Linked DNA regions of Zea mays. The main gene of each other region encodes a partner of the protein of the gene in region 3 in a complex. Links are inferred from orthologs where the notes say so. Each region holds a gene or a part of one and is shown on either strand. Other genes may lie near its edges.

The links.
Region 1: pre-mRNA-splicing factor prp45 (region 3) and pre-mRNA-splicing factor SF2 share a complex: the UniProt entries of both Arabidopsis thaliana proteins name them as parts of the spliceosome. The link is inferred for Zea mays from reciprocal best matches to the Arabidopsis thaliana genes SKIP and SR30.
Region 2: pre-mRNA-splicing factor prp45 (region 3) and U1 snRNP share a complex: the UniProt entries of both Arabidopsis thaliana proteins name them as parts of the spliceosome. The link is inferred for Zea mays from reciprocal best matches to the Arabidopsis thaliana genes SKIP and U1-70K.

The regions. Positions count from the first base shown.
Region 1 is NC_050098.1:57,765,306-57,772,989, forward strand, and holds the start of pre-mRNA-splicing factor SF2, read right to left. Parts: upstream 5,123-7,684; 5' UTR 4,967-5,122; coding exon 4,964-4,966; intron 4,889-4,963; exon of another isoform or gene 4,620-4,888; intron 4,075-4,619; coding exon 3,982-4,074; intron 1-3,981. UniProt on the Arabidopsis thaliana protein: Regulatory splicing factor that modulates alternative splicing and gene expression in specific cell types. Autoregulates its own expression. Probably involved in intron recognition and spliceosome assembly.
Region 2 is NC_050100.1:42,240,682-42,248,355, forward strand, and holds U1 snRNP, read right to left. Parts: upstream 5,426-7,674; 5' UTR 5,345-5,425; coding exon 5,246-5,344; intron 5,152-5,245; coding exon 5,037-5,151; intron 4,949-5,036; coding exon 4,869-4,948; intron 4,331-4,868; coding exon 4,255-4,330; intron 4,170-4,254; coding exon 4,105-4,169; intron 3,986-4,104; coding exon 3,923-3,985; intron 2,119-3,922; coding exon 2,037-2,118; intron 1,946-2,036; coding exon 1,783-1,945; intron 1,473-1,782; coding exon 1,407-1,472; intron 1,325-1,406; coding exon 658-1,324; 3' UTR 316-657; downstream 1-315. UniProt on the Arabidopsis thaliana protein: Mediates the splicing of pre-mRNA by binding to the loop I region of U1-snRNA.
Region 3 is NC_050099.1:184,590,933-184,598,616, reverse strand, and holds pre-mRNA-splicing factor prp45, read right to left. Parts: upstream 5,224-7,684; 5' UTR 5,099-5,223; coding exon 3,269-5,098; 3' UTR 2,926-3,268; downstream 1-2,925. UniProt on the Arabidopsis thaliana protein: Splicing factor involved in post-transcriptional regulation of circadian clock and flowering time genes. Associates with the pre-mRNA of PRR7, PRR9, ELF3 and GI, and is necessary for the regulation of their alternative splicing and mRNA maturation.

The DNA.
Region 1 (7,684 bases), on a different chromosome or scaffold from region 3:
CTTTTAGCATCTTAGCATCTTGACTGTCCTCTTTAGTCTCTTTAGCATCTAGAGGACAGCAGGAGCTTTTTGACTGTCCTCTTTAGTCTCTTTTAGCTTTTAGCATCTAGAGGACAATCTTGTTGTGTAGTGTGTTGTGTTGTGTGGTAGTGCAGCCTCTAGGGCTATAAATATGTGTCTCCAACCCTTAGGTGAGTATGGCATTTGAGTAGTGTGTGAGAAATAAACAGAAAATTGCCCCAACTCGTAGTGTCATCCTCTCGATGAGAGTTAGAGTCTCGCTGCTTACGGTCACAACCTTGTCATACATGTCCTTGATGAGCGTAACATACTTTGTTGGGACTTTATGATTATCCAATGCCCACAACATGAGATTCCTAGTTATTTTATCATAAGCCTTTTCCAAGTCGATAAAAACCATGTGCAAGTCCTCCTTCTACTCCTTATACCGCTCCATGACTTGTCTTATTAAGAAAATTGCTTCCATGGTTGACCTTCCAGGCATGAATCCAAATTGGTTCATGGTGATATGTGTCATTCCTCTCAGGCGATGCTTAATAACTCTCTCATAGCTTCATAGTGTGGCTCATGAGCTTAATCCCTCGATATTTGGTACAACTTTGAATATCTCCCTTGTTCTTGAAGATTGTTACTAATGTACTCCTGCTCCACTCATCGGGCATCTTGTTTGATCGAAAAATATGGTTGAACAACTTGGTTAGTCGAACGATAGCAATATCCCCAAGGCATTTCCACACCTCTATTGGAATACCATCTGGGCCCATTGCCTTGCCCCCTTTCATCCTCTTTAAAGCTTCTTTGACCTCTGATTCTTGGGTCCTGTGTACTGTTTTTGAGCCTTGGAAGAGATTATGGAAGACCTGGGCTCCTCCTAAATGCAAGTTCTTCCTTTGGTTGGCTATAAGGAACAAATGTTGGATAGCCGACAGATTACAGTTGAGGGGAATGCCACACCCAGATGTTTGCCCCATGTGTGATCAAGCCCAAGAAACAATTCAGCACCTACTTACTGCGTGCATTTTTGCCCGGCAATTTTGGCACACTAGTCTTGCTGCTATTGGTTTGGGGCACCTCACTCCAACAGCTGATGAGGAGAATTTTGCAGACTGGTGGGGAAAGGCAAGCCTTAGGGTTGTCAAGACGTGACAAAAGGGGCTTAACTCTCTAATCATCCTGGGGGCTTGGGGTCTATGGCTTCAGAGAAACAGAGCAGTGTTCCATGGGGAGGCTCCCTCATTACCCACGATTTTCCGGTGTTTCTCGGATGAATACGTTTGCTGGGTAATAGCAGGAGCTAAGGAGTTTGGGAGCTTGGGCTCAGTTGCTGCCCTGGGCGTGATCGGGTCAAGTTTCAGCAACAATCTGTAATCACTTTCGGGTTTATAAGGGGAGAGTTGCTCAGCAACATCTCCTCTGTTGTAATATGTTTTTTCCTCTCTAATATATAAGATGCGCAGTTCTCCTACGCGTTCTAGAAAAAAATCATCAAAGGAGTCATCCAATTGGGTGTCCATAGTCTTATTCTCACCATTGAAAAGATTGTCAAAATAACTCTGCCACCGTTGTTTGATGTCTTGTCCTTTCACCAAGAGTTGATCCATCTCCATCCTTGATGCATTTAATTTGGTTGAGGTCCCTCGTCTTCGTTTCCCGAATCCTAGTCATCTTAAAGACATCCTTCTCCCCTTCCTTTGTACTTAGTCTTCAATAAAGATCATCATAGGCTCGACCCTTTGCCTCACTCACAGCTTGCCTTGCAGTCTTCTTTGCCACCTTATACATCACTATGTTGATCGCGCTCCTATCATGGAACAAGCTCCTGTAACATTCTTTCTTCTCCTTTATTGCCTTTTGAACGTCCTCGGTCCACCACCAAGTATCCTTAGGTTCACCTCTGCTCCCTTTGGTCACCCAAAACACCTATGACGCCACCTTCCTAATACAAGTTGCCATCTTCATCCGCATGTTGTATGCATTTTCTTCTTCGAACCAAGCGCCCTCCACAAAAACTCTTTCTCTAAAAATTTCGGATGTCTCCCCTTTGAGTTTCCCCACTTCATCCTCGCAATTTTGGCTTGTTTATCCATATGGGTACGGATCCAAAAACGGAAGTCAGCCACCACAAGATTATGTTGGGGCACAACACTCTCCGGGTATCACGTTACAATCCAAACATGCTTGTTTATCTTCTCTCCTTGTGAGAACGAAGTCGATCTGGCTCGAACGATGGCCACTGCTAAGTCACCAAATGAGAATCTCTCTTTCTGAAGAAAGTGTTGGCTATCACTAGGTTGTAGGCTACAGAAAAGTCCAAAATATCCTCTCCTTGATTCCTACTAACATACCCGAAACCTCCATGAGCCAGCTCATAACATGCATTTGTTGAACCTACATGACCATTGAGATCTCCTATGAAAAGCTTCTCATTGGTGGGTATTGCTCTGACCATGCCATCTAAGTCTTCCCAGAACTTCCTCTTCTCGCTCGCACTGAGACCAATCTGAGGGGCATATGCACTTATAATGTTCAAGACTACATCCCCCAAAACTATTTTGATTAGGATAATCCTATCTCCCTGCCTTTTGACGTCCACCACTCCATCCTTAAGGGTCTTATCAATCAGGATACTCCATTTTTGTTTGCCACTGTTCCTGAGTACTAAAATTTGAAACCAGTGTTCTCCACCTCCTTCGCTTTTTGCCCCTTCCATCTTGTCTCATGCACACATAGGATACTAATGTGCCTCCTGCTCGCTACATCGACTAACTCTCTTAGCTTACCTGTAAGGGACCCTACGTTCCAACTACCTACACGGATCCTAGCCGGCTCAACTAGCTTCCTTACCCCTTGCACCCGTTGAGACAGATGCGAAGACCCTTGCCCATTTGTCACTACACCCGGGCGCCGATGTAGCGCGCCACTAAGGAAGCGACGACCCGATCCTTGCTCACTTGACACCGCATCCAGATCACGACACGACGCGCCACCAAGGGGCTGGCTGCCCGGCCCTTTCCCATTTAACACCATACCCGGGTTCCGATATGGCACGTCGCTAAGAGGGTTATGCCCCAACAGTTTTCTATGAGTGGCTAAGTTTTTATAGCTTGCTTGCCACGCCTCACGCAACCCTCCTACTTGTACATGGACTTGGGACCAGGCAATGCTGCACCAACATGGTTTTTGGGAGCAGCCTAAAAATTATTGGGAGTGGATTTTCTTTTAATCTCCAACAGTTCCCCTAAATATATACCAAAAATAATTTAAACTAGGTCAGATCATCTTTAATGCCCGCATCCATTCGAGCATTATGTCATCTTTGACCTAGGTAATCTTTCTCACGTTATTTTTTCCCACTGTGTTGTAGCTGGTAGGTAGTGGAGCATAACTGGGGGACAGGGTGGCAAAGGGGCATCGTAGACAATGAGCCAGTTGACGGTGAATAGCTGGCGTTGGATGGCCGGCAACGTATGGGTCGGCGATGGGACGACGTAGGTAGTGGTGATGGGGTGCCGGAAACAAAAATGGCAATGTAGTGGCGGGAGTACTGGTGATGTGGCAGTAGGAAATAGTATTGGAGGAACCAAAAGTCTCCCTATTAGTAACTACAAATGAGGGGAGTTTTGGGGCTATCAATAAGTTGGGCAGGATTTAGGGAAGCTGTTGAAGGCTAGTTTTTTTGTTTTTCCCAAGAATTTTAAGCTAGGGAAGACTTTAAATAAGATTTTGGAGATGCTCTAAGGGAATGCTAGATAGACTTATGCTAGTTAATATCATAAATAAAAAATGTGAACATTCAGCTCCATACTACATTCTCACATTAATAGGATACTGAAATTGCTGTCTTGCTGAGACAGAAAATGTTACTGACTTGTTAGGAATTAGCATATGCCCTGACCAACCAACACTTGTTTGCAAAATGAAAAATCGAAGAAAGGTACACGTTAAACAATTGCAATCCACCTTGTAGAAGAGATCCTCAACCTCCCTCTCACGGATGTCCCCAGGGAGATTGCCTACATAGATGGTACGGCTGTTGCGCCTGCTCATTGTTTTCTGCAGTTAAACACGGGTAAGTACATCATTGTCTCAAAAATGGGAAAATGCTGGGGCAAACACAACGAAATTTTAGCATGCCAAAGATAGTACGGTCACCAGAATATGGTTCTCCAAGAATGTGTCATTTACCTAAAACCCTACACCAATTTTCTAAGGAGGCAGTCATACAATGGTAATAGCAAGAGACAGAATTTTGTTTGAAATATCCCAGTCGAAAGTCAAAACAACAGCATGGTAATACCAAGACACGGAATTTCATTTAAAATATCCTAGTCGAAAATCGAAACAACAGGAAGAACATGGTGGCCTATGACTATATGCCGAGCATTATTAAAAAAAATGAAGTAGCAGCATCCATGAGACCTTGACCAAGAAAGAATGATGCTTCAACAGAAATTGTAACAAAGAGCACTATGAGTCTATAACATATTCTCTAGTTGCCTTTTATGTGTTAAAAAAAATGTACAAATCTGCACTGTATGTCACCTACTGATACGCGCTTAATCAAACTACACGGGTATTTCAAACATAATAACATGTACCGTATTCAATCATGCATCAAGGCTTCTATGTTTTATGTCATTGCAGCTCCAACTCCAACCTTACATCACACTGACATGGGCCACCGTGGCGAACTTCAACAAAGAGAGCCCCGGAGGAGGTTCGCTTAAACAATTTAGGCAGAATGGCAGCTGCAAATGACGAACAAAAAACCTAAAAGAACCGTGCAAGGGTGGATTGCCAGGGGTCTACTCAACTATCGTCAAACAAAACCGGAACGAACTCAACAGCTACATATAACTATATAAGGAGAGATTGAGTTGAGATCCCACGCAATCAGAGGAAAGGTAGGGACGAGACGACGAGAGGAACAGGCGGCGATTACCATGGAATCAAAATCGGAGCAAACTGGGAAGAAAAGCTAGTGGGGAGTGTGGAGATTAGTCGTGCCGTGCGCACCTCCTGGCGAAAGGGGAGGGGCCTCGACCTCGAGAAGGTTCGGGGTTCGGCAGGCGACGCCGCGTGGTGGAATACTGGAACCTGCGACAGGAGTCCCGTGGTCGTGGTGATATAGCTGGCGATGGGCAAATGTGGGTGCGGGACGCTTCGAGATTCGTGCGGTAGACCGCGACGTTGCAGCCTGCAGGCTGCAGGCGTGCTGTGGCCTCGTGGGCCGCCATGGGTTTCAGCGGCGGTGGTCTGATGGGCCGTTTTTGTTCACCCTTTGCAACAAATAACATCTACTTGACCTATACTAAGGGTCTGTTTGGTTGGGCTGTGGCTGTGGAAAAAGTTGCTGTGGGCTGTGAGCTGTGGAAAAAGCTGCTGTAGGCTGTGTGCTGTTAAAAAGCTAAAAATCGTTTGGTGGAAACCACTAAAAGTCGTTAAAAGTTCTTCGATATATGTTTTCACAGTTCCATCCAAAAGCCACTAAAAGCAGGTCCAGGGGTGCTTTCAGTTTTGCACTACGAGAAAGTCGGCTTTTAGAAAAAGCTGCTTCCTAGATCCAGCCCTTTGGTTGGCTTTTGGCTTTTAGGGGGCAAAAGCCAAAGCCAAAAGCCAAACCAAACACACCCTAAGGCTATCCGCAGTGGAGGTTACCCTATATCACTATTTATAGTCTAGGCATATAGATTCCTTACTATATTACAATCTTTTGCACTTATATCTCTACTAGGTGAGTGTCCGTACGTTGCAACGGAAACATATATCACGATAACTTATAACATTATAACTCATTTGTACATAAGTTATCATGATAAATGTTCTTCATGATAAATGTTCTTCTTGCAACGCAAAGGCACTCATCTAGTCACAAATGAAGTAACACAGACAATAACATGTAGGTTCTGGTAGCTTTTTGAGCCTAAACTCATATTACTCGGCAAACTTCAAGCTTACCACCAAACCAGTAAATACATATCAGTTTATTGCTCATTATTAGAACTGTTGTGAGATGTTGTATGCCAGTAATAAAGATTCACTACAGTACATGGCTAAAAACCCATAGAAACAATCTATATGTGATTGCGTAATTCGTAGGTGTAGAACACCACCTAACCTGCTTCATGCTCAAACACTTATCAATTACAATACTATAGGACAATATGATGCTGCAAAGATGGGGCAAAACCATGTTTCACAAAGTTGTTATTATAATTATCGACACAAGGCCTCATTGATGATCATCCTTGTCATAGTGGTCGTTTGGATAACCACCATCACCAATGACCTTGAGCTGCCCAAAATCAACAAAATAATATTTTAGTCAAGTGCTAATCAACAACAGCTAAACATCTTTTATAACAATCAGTCAAGGCAATGGTTTCTGTTACCACAAAGTATTGTGAGTAAATTGGGCACTCATGCGGTTAATCCTTTTGCAACCAAAACCAGACAACATCGTGTTCATCCTCCACAATAAATCGCGATGAAAAAATAAGCACAATTATTACATACCATGGTTAGCGTAGATGTAACTCCTTCGCCACCAGATCAGCCAACTGTTCTCTTGTTATTGTAGGATTCAATCATAGTCGGTTCCTCCTGCAAGCAACATCGTGTTCATCCTCCGCAATAAAGCGCGATGGAAAAATAAGCACAATTATTACATACCATGGTTAGCGTAGATGTAACTCCTTCACCACCAGATCAGCCAGATGTTCTCTTGTTATTGTAGGATTCAATCATAGTCGGGTCCTCCTGCAGGCAACACATTCAGAATTAACAAATGTACAATCTTGCAGCACAAAAAATCTGGTATGCAAAATCAAAATAATATACTTGTTTTCTTAAGGTGGTACTTTATATTGTTCAGATCTTGTAGCATAGAAAGTCTGGAAAGAAAAAAATAAAAATAGAAGGGGGTGAGGGATCAAGAACTTCCACACATATCTAGACCAAATGCAAGCGGTGTCAGTACTCAGTATGGATGGGTGGGCATGCCCAAGGTTGAAGAACAGAACCTGATATATAAAACACTGGTATTTAATTCAATGCTCCCAAGTGACAAGGTAGTGACAAATAGCTATACTACAGATTCCATGTATATGGTTGACTGCTGGTGTATCTAGAACAAGACTGAGACAATGCAGTTTAAGCATGCACATATCAAATACTTTGTAGTTTATGATATTAATATTAGTAACACTTGTGCAAATTTCTCTTCACCTGACCAAATACTTGGTATGATCCCTAGAGTCAGAGCTAAATTACAGGGCACCTCACTTTAGTACCGAAAGGGGCCGGCGGGAGGATCCATGTCAAATTGCTTCTTCCCTTGGAGAATCAGGTCAATGCTGAAAAATAAAGCATATTATCATAATTATAACTAACATAGTAGGTCACAGGAGTAAATGATGTAAAATAGTAATATTGAATTTTATTACATGTGCCCTCTTTCTCGATTCAAATAAATTACACTTCCTTAATGGAAATGTACATATGGCGTGATCAAATATGTTCCTGGCATTAAGATAACAAATTTTATGTATCATACTCAATATTCGCTATTCCAAAACAGAAGGAACAGAAGGCACTATTGGCATTCAGGGTTTCCGGCACACTGGTACAATTGTTTGGACCCATCTCATTATTAAACAATGTT
Region 2 (7,674 bases), on a different chromosome or scaffold from region 3:
GAAAACGAGGAAGAAGACTGGCTAAAACTAGTTCTCCGCCAAGGAAAGCTAAGTGTCACGTAGGCTTTAACACAACATGGGTACGCCAGTGTATCTAGTACCTTAAGCTATTACGCCGAGCCGTGTTAAACGCCGAGCAAAAGATCTACAACCGATAGAACGTCATCCTACGGGCTGAACTTAAATTTTTACAAAAAAAAAAGACTAAATTACAAAAAAAAATGATTACATTTTATTGATGAGACCTATGTGCTTGGATGTAGAGGACAAAGGTTGCAGTTGTTACCAAGCAACTTTTTGTTAGAAGGCCAAATAGAACAACAATTCTGAAGTTCTGCAAAATGTTGGAACAAATAATTTGAAGGAACTGTCATACAAAACTTCTTAACAGAAGAGTAGATGGATAACGGCAGATCATATGGATCTCCACAACCAGATTACACAAATATCTTATTCCACAAGATATTGGCAGCCATAGGCTTCAAATTCAAAAATCCACGCAGTTGGGCAAGATTTTGCTTCCTTTTGAGAATTCCCCAACATGGAAGAACACAACTGACAGGCACTATGCAGCTGAAACTAATTCATACAAAGAACCAACATTGAAACCATCGTTGTGTATCAGTATAAAGCTGCAGGCAAATCTCATCGCTGCAATCAAGCTTCCTTCATGTGTTCACCAGACCGGTGATACTGGTAGTCGCCTTCCTCATATGCCTCACCTTCCTCAGGGCCTTCTGGCTCAGCATTGTTTGGCGGCATCTGATAGTTAGCTTCCATTTTACCATACGAGTCAACACGATAATATTCGTGCTCATGCCGCTTTGAGTGTTCAGTTTCATGTCCACGTACATCTTGACTGTAACCATATGCATCATGACCTTTGTGTTGCTCATACTGACCATAGCCATAATCCTGCCCATAACTAGACAGATTTTTGTCATGCTTTGTCCCACCATTGCCATAGTCTGCATCCCTCTCATGCATGTGACCACGGTCACGTTCATGGCTGGTGCGCTCATAATCTCTTTCACCACGGTCCCTGCCTCTCTCACGATGGCGATCATGAGAGCGACCACGGTCCCTTTCTCTATCATAGTCCCGACCACGATCCTTGTCCCTGTCACGACGATCACGCTCCCGGTCACGGCCGTGGTCTCTTTCACGGTCCTTTCCTCTCTCCCTATCCCGAGTCCTCTCACGGTCTCTATGGTGATGCTTCTCATCTCGTAGATCTCTATCACGAGTCCGGTCATGCGAACGTTCACGGGTCCTCTCCTCACGGTCTCTTTCCCGTACCCTTTCACGAGATTTTTCACGATCCCTTCAAGTAAAAATAATCACACGAAGAAGCAATTAATAAGCATCAAAAGTATGATATCAACACAACAATCCCCATGGCTTACCTATCGGCACGACGATCATCCCTCCGAGGCTCTTCTGATCTAGGGCGTCCACCTTGTTGTTGCTCCCTGATAATAAGATATGCATACGTGTTAACAACAATCAGATATCGTAATGTCAACATAAATGTAGCACAAGTAATACACCAAGGTCATCACACTTTTCAACATCAACAATGGCATGTCAATGTATCAGATCACAGATGGTACAGAAGGCCTCCTACAGAAAAGCATATAAAAGACAAAGGGAACAAACAAACATGTAGAAGCAAAGTGAACACATATGACCAGTATAAGCATCACTGACGAGTTTGACTCCAGTGCCTCTTTCTAAAAGCAATAACTTTTTACAGGTGATCAAAATGAGAAACAGATGTACCTAGTGGAATCCTTTTTGTCAGTATCAGTACCACCCATCCTGCTTGATCCCAACCCACCACCCAATCTCCTAGGACGCCAATTTGGAACAGTTCTGCCTCGCTCAACATCAACTAATACCCTCCTGTTGTCCACTTTTCTCCCATCTGCTTGCTTGTAGGCATCTGGTGAGAACCCAAGTTAGCAGAGAAAATGTAAGCTATTATGAAAGAGAATAAACCAAACGGAAAATTTGCAACAAAAAGAGAAACTTACTTTTCATGTCTCGTGTGTGCACATACTCAATGAATGCATATCCTCTAGGTTTACTTGTATCTTTCTCAGTTACAAGACGAACCTGGAAAGATCAAATTTAGTAATGAAACAATATTCAATAAGAAAGTTCCCCTGAAGTTAAGAATATGTTATATTTTTAGTTGTAATTGTGTTTGTTCTTTTAATTTTTAGCATATTTTATGCTGCACGACAGACAGGCATAAAGCCTAAAACAGCCGTGCTAACCTTGCACATGTAGAGCTTCCACACGAGGAGTGAAATCCAGCACAGATCAACACAGTTGGAGGAAAAGCGCTGTCTGGCCGATTGGCATACGTTGGGAAATAAATTGGATATCCCCTTACCAGGGAATTTTATACTAAAGGAAAGGGTGTACGATAGAACTAAATACTATACCAAGTTGCCCTCCATCGGTGAAATTTGTTCAGCCTTCGTTTTCCAAACAAACAGAATGATAACGAAGTTAACAGAAAGGTGATAAATACCAAGTGAGTGATGTATACCCCTTATGCACAAAATCGATGGATCTTCGACTCTAGGAGTTGAGAGATGCAATTAGTATTGTGTAAGGTTGCTGATTGCTCCACAACCAAAATTTGGTAGCAGTGATAGCTTTCATAGCTAATCTGAAGGAACTATAAATACTATACTCACCAGCAAGCCTACCCAATTAAGCCTACATACAGTAGAAAATCCCTGTCTACAGACAAGCTGCTTTTTGAAAAATACAAAGTGATCTATGCTAATTTGTGCCACTGTCAGCATTTTTCAAGCTTGTTTACCCCCAGTTGACCATTATGGTAGATGCAAATCTGTGGAATGAGAGAACAGCTCAACCATTTACTACCTTCGTTAGAAGCAATTTGCTCTTCTCAAGAAATTTCTTGCTGACGACAAAAAAGTACTAGGAAATAGAGAACCTGGGCCACATACAGGTGCAGCCATAATTACCTGTTTACGCATATTTGTGTTCCCAGAGATGCCTTGTCATTAATTGGTTGTACCAACCATGCACATAGTAAAATGGCTTTCCAATGAAAGTCCAAAAGATTTAACTAAATTACCAGCGAGCATACATATGCCTGAACCCTATATAATTTTCCATTTGAAATGTATTCCATCTAAGCCCCAAAAGGTATAAAGATCGCTTAAAAAGAGAGATTGTGAAGAGTTGTAGACCTTCTGTGCCACAGAAATGATTGTTATTTCCTTAGTTTAGGACAACACAACTGCCAAGAGTTACTCCACACCCCTCCCCATGAAAAATTTCTTGTCTGATGTTTAAATACCCTTAACTAGGTAAAATTTTACATCATTGCATTGAACTGTATAAAACTACTGAAAATATTTTATTCTAGAACCAATTTCATAATTAAGTAATCAAATAAAATGAATTACAGCTAAATGATCAAATTCACAGCTCAAAACCATAAAAAAAAAGTTGTCATGGAATACATTCTAGAGCAAACACTATACATGTGCGTGAAACAGAGCAAACAAGTTGTTGGCTCCAAAAACAAAAATTCAATTAAAACATTGATGCTAAGTTTACCAAAAATGACTATGAAACTGAGAGTTCCCAGTTTCTTTGAAAGCATTTCCAGAGAAGTTTTCAGAAACCAGAAAGGAAATGAAGAAACTGCAGATTTTGATTCTAGATATGAAATGGAGCAAGAAAGCGGTTATAAGGACCCCTGGTGTTGCAAACACTTGTCGGAGGAGCTTAAAAGGAAGCCATAAACTAATGAGGCAACTTTTCCACAGTTTTGTCCAATGATTGTTTACATTTTAGAATGATTGAAAAATCCATAAACCTTACCAAAGTGCAATAACTTCACCTGCACAGGAATTACCACATTACTTACCCTTTTAATAGGACCATAACCTTCAAACTCGCGTTTGATCCTCTGCTCAGATGTCTCATAGTTCTGCAACAATGGCAAAGCCAATTAGCTTGGTTTTACAAAGATAACTTGCCATCAAATTCTCATCAGTAAGGACTAAGGAATGTGCCAAACTGCCAATAATTTCAGGCAAAATTACTTACAAGTCTAGCAACAAAGAGTGTTTTGTATGGATCTCCAGTAGCATTGGGGTCACTTTGTGGGTCATCTGCATAAAACCAAATCAGAACAATGATGTTATTACAACCATAACTTTAAAATAATTGGGGTGACACCATGCCCTAAGGACGTACACTTCTGAAGCTCTTCAGCAACCTTAGCTGCGCCTTGCTCGAGCTTATTATTGCGAATTCTAGCCTTCTTCTCTGCCTGCATATATAGAGCATATATATAATAATCAGGTGCAGGATAAAATAAAATAGTAAAGGGTAGAACAATGCTAAGATATGCCCCAAAATTGAGTAAGATATGATCCAATGCATTATTAAGAGAGAGAGAATTTGTGCAGTTCAAGAATGATTTAGGCCCATGTGATCTCAGCAGAAAGAAATGTGACAATGCCTTCACACAGTTGAATGCATGATATCATCTCAAAACATTGAAAATCCAGAACATAGTCAAACCATGCATGCTTTTGTAGCAGAAGCAACTACTAAAGTTGACCAGAAATGCCCAAAATATCATGCGCTCAGTAGATATCGTGTGCTACAAGCAGGTTTCGGAAGCTACTGTTCTAACAATATGTAATTCTTTACGAAAAATACTTGGCACACCATCCAGTTGCACACTAGCACTGTGGTGTAATTCGACTACCTCAGAAACCAAGTCACAAAGTCTGATTAGAGAACGTTGTACAGATATGATAGCAGGCAAACCTATGACACTCAGCATATAGACAAAAACATACCCTGGTCTCACACTTGGGTACTGGCGGAGCATACTCTGGATCCTCGGGCTCAGCAAAGTGCGACACAAATTGTGCCATCCCTGCATCCAAATCAGTAGCCACACCAAACAATCGGTGAGCAAACCCTTGAAAACATCTACTAGACAATCCCAAAATCCGTCGACTCACCGGTGTAGGCCGGCAATTTGCGCTTCTCCAGCGGGGGCTTGTACTCGAGCGGTGGACGCGGTTCGAAGAGCTTAAGCAGGTTGGGCGTGAGCCCCGTCGGGTGGATCTGCCCCATCTGCGAGCGAGGTGAAACCAAACCACGGATCAGAGACGAATCAGGCAGCTAGGGTTAGGGTTTAGCAGGGGAGACGAGGGGATCGGTGGCTTACGAGCTTGAGCTGCTGGACGTTAGGGCGCTGGCCCTGGCCCCTGGGGCGGGAGTCCGGGTTGCCCCGCATCTGCCCCCCGCCGTGGCCATAGTCACCCATCGTCGACGCCGGCGAAGGAGGAGGCGGCGGCTGGAGAGGTGCGAAGCGAGGTGGGGAGAGATGTGTCTCCCCCCTGTAGTCTTTGTTGCGGTCGAGGCGGCCCAGCAACGAACGCACGGGACTAGGTCAAGACCGTGAAGTGGCCCACGCGGCAGGGTCCCGACACAACGGACACGAAACGGATGGTTGTTTGGACGTCTGCTCCCTGACTTGTTTTCGGTGCCGCGCTTGCCCGAGTTTCATTGCTAGATTAGATAGTTTTGGCTAGCCATATATGTGGCAATCTATGAGGCATGTTTGGTTCAGCTTTTTTCTGACCAACTTGAAAATCTGGCTATGGGGAGAATGTGGCTGTGGGAAGTATCTGAGTATCATTACGATTACGTGTGGAGAAAGATAAAGTTGTTCATAGGGCTCAGGATCTAGAAAGTGACGGATTCCTACTATTACAACGACTCAACCGATTATGTGTTTAGGTTGATTTTAGATGGTTTTTGCCCCAACGAATTCTATAGAAGCTGGCTGAAAAGCTGAGCGTTTGGCAGTCCGCAATAGCTTTTGGTGGCCAGAAGCTGCCAGAAGCCGAAACAAATAGGGGCATGCTAAGATCTTTCTCCTATTATACTGGTTTCATTCGTAAATGGTTTATAAAAGTGTGGTAAAATTTTCTTACACATGATAATTTGTAGTGGAGAATTTTAGCGTCCAGAAGTTTCCAGTCTCTACTACTCTATAAGGACTGAGCGTGGACATCCACACTGAGTACACCATGCCCCCGCCTCCGTGGCTACCGCGCTCCCCACCCACACATAGGTCCGTGACCGCCACGCTCCCACCACCCAGATGCGCACGCTACCCCCCACCCCCACACGTCGTCGTCGCGCAAGTGTCCTTCTACCCGGCACTCATCGCGGTGCCGCGCGATGGAAGACCTCGACGTGCTTATGGGCTTGAGGCCGCCTGTCGTGAAAGACCCCGCCTCGCTGTCGCCAATGAACTCGAGGCCGCCTGGCGTCTCCTTTGAGCTTGTCCTACTCGGCGATGGTACAACTCCCTCCTCCCTTTTGATCCCCAACCTAAGCCTTTTCTGAAAGGGAAATGAGATTAATCATTTCCCATAATTGATTTTGGTGTTTGATGTCCATCACAAACCACGTGGACTAACTAGTTTGCCTAATTGTTATTTATCTCAGGTGCTTAAAAATCAACACAAACCAACAAAGAAAATAAGTTATGAACTCAACAAAGTTTAGAGCAAAGACAAGCATTAGTGCTGATAGTGGCGCACCGGACACTGTCCGGTGCCCAGGCCAAGGCACTCGCGAACTGGCCGCTCTCGGGATTCTTTGGGAGTTGCTCCGCTATAATTCACCGGACTGTCCGGTGTGCACCAGACAGTGTCCGGTGAGCCAACGGAGCAACGGTCAATTGCACCCAACGGTCGACTGCGATGAACAGTAAAAGAGCATAATGCAGAAGTCATAAGTTAGAGTTGCGAAGTCAGGACGCACTGGACTGTCCAGTGCAGCAAGAGGACAAAAGACTTCAACGGTCAACCGCTCCAAACTCCAACGGTTTGCTGACGTGGCAGGCACCGGACAGTGAACAGTGTCCTGTCCGGTGCACCATCGAACTGTCCGGTGTGTCCGTCGACAGCAACAGCTGGAATAGTGGTTATGTACCACGTAAGTATTTTTTTAGTACTCTCCCTTTCCAATTTGTAATTTGTTTGACTTTTTTTATCCTAAGTTTGACCGGCTCGTATTATTCAAAAAATCATAATTATTATTAATGATTATTGTTATATCATTTAACATATCATATATATAAAGTATGTCTTTGAATTTTTTTTATTTTGTCATAATTTTTTTGAAAAAAGCCGAGTTGGTCAAATTTGACAAAAAAATCAAAAAAATTATAAATTGAACCGGAGGGAGTAAGTACTTAGCCCTATCCAATAGTAGGTGGAGTGTTGTATGATGGCCACAATTAGGACTGAAGCTAGGTTATAAAGTGTGGACGCGATGGCTAGAAAATCAAAAATCCAATTATTACCCTCAAAATTTAAACACATTTTTTTAAACTCGGACATACCTTTTATTTTTATAAAGTACCGCAACCCCCTCTATTTTCCTCTATATGCGCCCTTGGCTACAATGCTAATTGTCTCAGCCCTGCTAAGGGTGGTGCCCTGGTGAGTAGAGTGTAGGTGAACTCCACAAATATTCTCTATATATATATATATATATATATATATATATAAACCAAAGAGAGATGCAATGAGCGATGCAATGAGCCGATTAGAGAAATGTATAATCGGATACAAATCA
Region 3 (7,684 bases):
GCCTTCTGTTCCGTCCGTCACTGCCTCCCGGCTCCTACTACTCGGCGCGGCACAGCCCCAGCCCCAACCCCTGTGCAAGGGGGCATGTCTCCCACTGCTGTTGCTCTACGTCCACCGGATCTGGATCCCGCGGGAGCGAGTGGCGCGGCGGTGGCGATGACGTTGGGGGAGGGGCGGTGGAGGCAAAGGGAGGAGGGGAGGCGGAGAGAGGTCGCGTCGGCGGTGGAGGCAGGGGGCGGGCAACGCGACAGAGAGTGCGGGGGAGGTTAGGGATTGGGTGGTCACGCGGTGGAGAAGGATGGAGTGTGGGAGACGCAGACATACGATGCGATATCGACGGTCTAGATCCATGGACGGCAGAACGGCAGAACGAGGGAGGCAGACTACTCTTGCTCTCTTAATATGTAGTGCATATATATATATATATATATATATATATATATATATATATATATATATATATATATATATATATATATATATATATATATATATATATATATATATATATATATATATAGGAAAAGAAGGAAGTATCCATGTCTGATCTGGTGACCTATGAGACTGGCCGACTCTAAAAACAAGAAAGGAGTAGCGGGATCTTTCACCTGTGTGAATGGTATAATTGGCAGGTACAATGTACAGACTATCCTGAATATTTTTTTTCTTCTACTTTGATAAGGTTCGAAAACGAAGGAGCTGGGGCGAGGGCGACTGGTCGGCAGTGTTGAAATTGGCTGTCCTGGGTCCCTGAGAGATCATGAACACTATCGAAAGCTGCTGGACTGCACAGTTTAAAAGATAACGGATCGATGCGGCCAAAAGCGACGAGGGGCGCAGTGGCGTCTTCTCAATCCTCATGACAGACAGGAAGCGGGATCGTTAGCATCCAGAACCACAGCGAGATGGACGGCGAGCAAAGGAAACCGGGTGCAGGACAACCCGGGGCTGCCTCCATGCGAAATGTGCTGGCCGATTTACGGCCCCAAAACCAGCTTGTTCACGAAACGAAATATTCTTCTTCTCTGTTTCCGTCTTTTTTTTTTTTTGAGGTGGTGGCCATGTGCGGAAATGTCACACACTCGTTCGGTTCGGTTCACAAAAGACTAGAAAACCAAGTGCCAGGGAAACCCACGATGGGCCCGATAGTCCTTTTTTGAAGCCCATTTGATAGCACATGTCAGACACGAGCAGATGCCGGCCCATCTCGAAGCAAAGTACTCCTACGGACTACGGAGACAGGATGATTTTTCCGTTCCATCTATCGGCTGTCTTTCTTTGTTTCTCGTCAGTCTGATTTCTTCCCTTTGTACGTGTTGGCAGCTTTCTGTGGGCTGGCTGCTCCCTCAGCCCCAGCAAGGACTTGTTTAGTTATTCCCATTATATATAAATTGGATTAGATTAGAAAAAATTTAGAAAAACTTTGACTTGTTTGGGATTTAAACCCACCCAATCCCACTCCATTCACATAGATTGAGAGTTAACCAAACAAATAAATATAGACGTGCAGAATATCGTTTTGCAATGCAAACTGCTACATGTGAAATGGTTTTATCAAACGGTTTACCAAAACTGTTTTAACTCCACGAAGTTATTCATGACGTTGAAGAAGAAAACACAAAGTTGGAGAAAGAAAAAACGGCTTCGCTAGTAAAGTGAAAGTGTGCCAAACGAAATCTGACTCATCATCTCACACAGAAATAGAATATGATGATGCTAGAAATAATAGCTTATCACAGCTTCATCACACACCCGTCGGTCCTGTGAGCCAAACGAAACCTAAATCATGATCTCACATAGGAAAAGAATATGCCGAAGCCTAAATCATGATCTCACATAGGAATAGAATATCGTGAAGCTGAAAACAATAGCTTTTTCACAGCTTCAAAACACACTCATCGGTCCTGTAAGATTCTGTAAGAACAAATGTACATACAAAGCTGTCTTGCAAATGATTCACCAAAACAGCTTTTAACTTCACTGAGAAAGTTGCTCGTAAAACTAAAAAACTGAGCTGTATGCCTGTTTTGCAAACGGTTCGCTAATCAACTTTAACTTCACTGATAAAGTTGCTTGTAAAACTGAAAAAAAAGGCAACGTGTTGAACCAAACGGTGTCTTAATGTTCATAAGGTGGAGCCTCTGAGCCAATTGTTAGTACCGCATTATTATCATAGGTGTGTCCGTGTGTGGGGGAAAGAAAACATGTGTGCATACTGCTTCAGTAAATTTGGAACTGTCATCAAATCTCTGATTGCAAGCGTGCACAGAAACATATATACTCTACTACAAGATAGCAGTAAGCAAAGTACGTTTTGCCCCAGTTTCAATCATCTGTTGCTCATGCAAACAGCAAAGCAATGTCCACGGTAGTTATAGCAATCGGCCATGCATTCATTGCATATATGTGCTCAATTATCAGGAAATTTTAAATCTCTTTTAAAGAAACTCATGAAACTTTAACAATAAATATAGATCGACCAACTTGATACAGCTCTGCATCAAAAACAAAAAACAAAAATTGCCCTATAAAGGTTTGCTTCTTTGTAAAATGAACAAATGTTTACATGAGAATTAGAACAAACCAGGATCCCAATATTTATAAGGGCAGAAAATAACTAAAATTCAATAAAAGCTACCTTGAAGTATCACAAGTTCACAGGGTAAAAACTGGATATAGGTAAGTTAAGGACACTGCAGAAAAACTGAAAACTAATGTCAACCAAAAACTAGAGCATGACTGAGACTCCACTCAAACCAAGCACACTGAACTAGGAAATGGAGTCACAGATAACCACAGTTCGCATGACACAGCAAAATCTTATTGAGTACAACAGTAAACCATGAATACATCCCCGCAATAAAAAGCAGAAAGAAATAATCTAATAGGCACCACCAAGAAATTCATAAACAGAATGAGCACATGTGCAGCAACCATGGCAACAAATAGCCACGTTGAGTCCATCCATATCCCAAAATGATAACTGATGAAATAATAGAGCCCAATAACATGTATCGTAAGTTCGTAACAATTGATGGAACATGGATAAACGAAGCTCATAGCTCCTATAATGAACAGATACACGCATAGTACATAGACATCATAGGATCCATATAGTACACTCTTAAGCACAACCACTGAAAGTAGGCACATGAGCTATAACAGCACAGGAGCCATGCTCTTTCTTATCAGAGTTCAGCTTCTTATGACATTCTGCTAGAAGATATTTGAGAAAGCATTCCAAACCTGCAGAAGCAGAGCAAATACCTCAGCGCCCCCTTTCAAAGTTGATGCGGGACCTCCCAGATCCACCATCATAATCATCCCTCATTGAGGACCCACCACTCGCCTTCATGGTTCCTCCACCTCCAATCTTCTCCACAGCTTTCTTACCCTTCTTCACCTCAGTCAAGAACTGATCCAGACCAAATGGATCATTTTCTTCCTGCTTATCGAACTCCACAGGCCTGTCTCGCTTGCCAGTCCTCTCTGAAGCACCAGTAAATCCCTTGTCAGGCTTGAACCTCTCAGTCTTCATAACCTTCTCCAACTGTTCATCTGCATCACCATATACATCAGAATCCCCATCCTTCTTAGGCCTGTATAGCGTGGACATCGTGGACTGCGCTGTGAAGAGACCCTTAGAGTAGATATTGTACTGATCATCTGTGGCAAAACCAGAGTCCATTCCCTTGTCCTGGTTGAACAGACGCTGGTCATACATAACCTCACCACCTTTTGCACCACCAGTGCTTGCCATACCAAGAGCAATCTTCTCACTGATATCACGATCCCTGTCCCTTGTGATCTTACTCTTCTTGCCCATTGCAGCATCCTTGGCTTCAAGCCTCCTCTCCCTCTCCCTCTCGCGTCTGCGCTCCTCACGGATTCTATCACGCTCAATCCTTCCTTCCCTCTCTTCTCTAGACTCCCTGCGCTGCTCACGTGATTCCCGTGGTTCACGCGGTTGCTCCATATCCATAACTTCATCAACATCCTGAATTGCTCCCCTGCCACCACCAGCAGGCACACCTGATGGTGCAGGTGGGGCACCAGTCCTCTCCATACGTGCCCTCTGTGCAAGTGCCCTTAGCTCTTGCTCCTTTCTCTCCTTCTCCTTCAGCATAAGTTCCCTCTGAACCTTGGAGCGCATCTGCACTGCCTCCCTCGCCTTCTGCTCTGCCACGTACAATGCTTCAGAAAGCTTTGCAAAGTTATCATTGATCTGCACCTCCTGCAGACCCCTCCCATCAGCCGCCAACCTCTTATCAAGCGGAATCGTGTAACCCTTTGGATTTTTCCAATTTGAAATACAAGGTGGGATCTTCCAATCCTGCTGGTCCTTCACTGTAACTGGCCGTGGCGGCGAGTGCATCACTGGTACAGGTGGTGACCCAGACGCCCGGGGCACACGCTTGTGCTTGAACTTTGGTGGCTCAAGAGGATCCACCGCCATCTCTGACATCCTAATGATCCTCTCCTTTGCACCTGAATTGAAGGCCGCGGATTGCTGTGACGGCTTATACTTGATGAACTTGGACTCAGAATCATGAGTCGGCACATTCTTGGGCTGAGCTGCAGAGAGGCGGACGTTGACAACCTTCTCCAAGGCGGCCTTGGTCCGTTCAGTTGTCTCCTCGATCTGCTTCTGCTCCTCGTCGTCGTCCGACGTCGCCTGGGAATCGGCAGTGGCTATCTTCGGCACGAGGTCGCTATGCTTAGAGTAGACGATCTTGCCTGCGTTCTCCCCCTGCTTGACGACGGCGTCGAAGGCGACGCTGCCGTGTGCGTCGACGGTGAGCGCAAGGATCTTGGATCCGCCCTTATCATCACGGCGTCCCATGCCGAGCGGATACTGCGCGACGTGGATCTCCGGAAAGGCGCCGCCATCCCCGAAGTCCTCCGGCCGTCGCGGCACGAACCCCGTCCGCTTTCCGTAAGGTGGCACGGGCCGGGCGGCGGCCGCGGGCCTCGTCGCCGCGGCCGCCTGCGCCGACTCCCCACCGTACCGCTCCTTGAACCAGGGGTCGCTGCTGTGGTCGTAGAAGGTGGACGCTGACGTCTTGGGCGCCGGTAGGAGATCCTTGAGCGTCGCCATGGAGGCGGCCGCGTGCACGGCGCGTAGGATCTGCGGCTACCTAGGGTTCCGGCGAGTCGCCTGGTGCCCTGGTGGGGGGTCAGGGGAAATCGACGAGGAGGACAAGCTAGGGTTTGATTCTAATTTGGGGAAAGTGATAAAGGGTGTGACTGAGAAGGCGGCTACTGGCTGGGCTGGGCTGGAGTGGGCTTTTTGCAATTTGTAAAGGCCCGTTTCAGAAGCGAAACCAGTAAACTCTAAATGGGTCGATGCAAGAAATGGCTTCTATTGGCCTGCGCGCTCGGTGGTTTGGTAGCTCATTTTTACATTTTAAAATATTCAAAATTTTAATACTATACTCTAGAACTTAAAAAATGAAGAAATGAGTATCTGCTGTCCGCCAATGGATTGTAGGCAAGGTCGGAGCTGAGATTTGGGGGCCTAGGGCGAACATAAAAATCGAGCCTCTTCTAATATTTCTTGAGATAAAATCATCAATGGTTGTGTTGATCTAATATAATATTTTTCTCAACGTATAGGTGGCAAAACCACTCAATCGTTCTCAAAAAATTGTAGATCTGAAATAGTTATTCAATTATTTCAATATCGAAAAACTCATTTCAGTTGATGCCACCATGACAGGTATAATAAATAAGACTTGATAATTTATATAAGCAATAGAATAGAAATCTATCTTATTGACATACTAAAAACTCTTAACTCGGAAATTAGATTATTTAATTCAGCATTAGCTCTCATATTAGCTATATAATTAACTATATGATGTGGAGCACCTATGATTTGGGGGCCTAGGGCGGCTACCCGTCCGGGTTGGCCCTATGCCAAGAGCTGGCCCTAATTGCGGGGACTTAATTATAAAAATATTTGAATGTTCCTATGAATTAAATATTTATTTGGATTATTAAATAATCTATACGCAATAATCCACCATCTAGACAATTATATAAATAGAAATCTATTAATTACTAACTATAAGATTAAATAACTTATACAATATTTTTAAGCTAAACATTACATCATGGCAATGCACAACAAAACATGTGCATCAGATAAGGTGCACCAAATAGGACACCAATAGAGCTTAAAGAAGAGATCGCATACACTTTATAACCATCGGACTTGTTTAATGCACCACCAGACATATTATTGAACAGGATACTCAGAGAGCATGTAAATTATGTCTAAAAGGTCGAGTACTCAACGTATTTGTCCACCATGCTACTAGTTATGGCATCAAGCAGGATAATCAGAGAGGTTTGCTACTATATGTAACTAGAGATGATAGTGGAGTACGCGTGTGGATAAATAACCACGGATAATTATTCATTAGAATGGATATGGTGGGATTTGTTATCAATGGGTATTGATATTTATGCAATTTAGCATTTTTTGTAAAAAACATATTTGGATTCTTAACGGTTTAATATCGTTTTTGGGCCCTTTGTTCGGTGTCATAGACCATGCCACCAAGATAACACGGCTCAGCGTCGTGACCTATGGCGCCGAGATCATAACTACGCTGGCATTTAGGTACACTACTGGCAGCTGACATGCCGCCGAGGTCCTAACTACGCTGGGAAAATCGAGTTGTAGCGTTGATTTTACAGGACTATTCTTTTCGATGCATGTTTTCACTACAAGAAACAAGGCAGAGAGTGTCGGTCAAAAACTCACACTCTTACTGAAATAAGCCAACACTCTTAGTATAAGAGTGTCGGCCAACTGACACTCTTAGGTGACCTGAAATGGATGCTCTTATTCGTATAAATGTGTGGGACTGACACTCTTACGTTAAGAGTGTCGGTTCAGCACGCAACCGGCACTCTTATGCTAAGAGTGTCGGCCAGTGACATGGCAAACATTCTTATTGTGCGCACGGTCCCTAGCCTAGCTGTGTCATATAAGAATGTGTGGGCCGACATTCTTACTGAATAATTTTTTTTAATATCCAGTTTTATTTTTCTCCCTCTCTGGATGGGAAGCCTCCATAACAGTTCAGTAACAGCACAATACAAGCACAATATTCAATATATCACAACACAAGTACCATATTCAATATATCATAACAAAAGCATCATATTCGATATTTATACAAGTTCAAGTCCATAAGAAAGAAGTTCAAATCCATTTGAAACAAGTTCAAGTCCATACAAAACACAATGCTAGTAAGTTTCACATAAGCCTCCATATTAATTCATTCCGTCCGTGGGTCATTGAAGCCGCCGCCACTTGTATTCATTAATACAAGTTTCTCTTCGTACTGTTTTTCTTCGAACTCCTGTGAGCTCCTCAGCTCCACCGCATCCTCCATTTTTTTGCTTCCCAAAAGAGCTTCCCGCTTGCTCGGAGGACGCTCATCTGTTGAATCGGATTTCCGATCCGGAGTGTTGCTCTCTACAGAAGGCAGACCCACCAACTTGAAACCTTGAAACCTTTTCCTTATCCGTGTCACTCGACTCTAGCCCCTGCCCCTCTGCTTGCTGCCCATCCATTACAACCGTAGCCTTCAGGGACAGCAGCGCTCTCCAATGCACCAGCATCAGCAGGCGGCACTTGTGCTTCCAAAGAATCCTGCTGCTGCGGGCG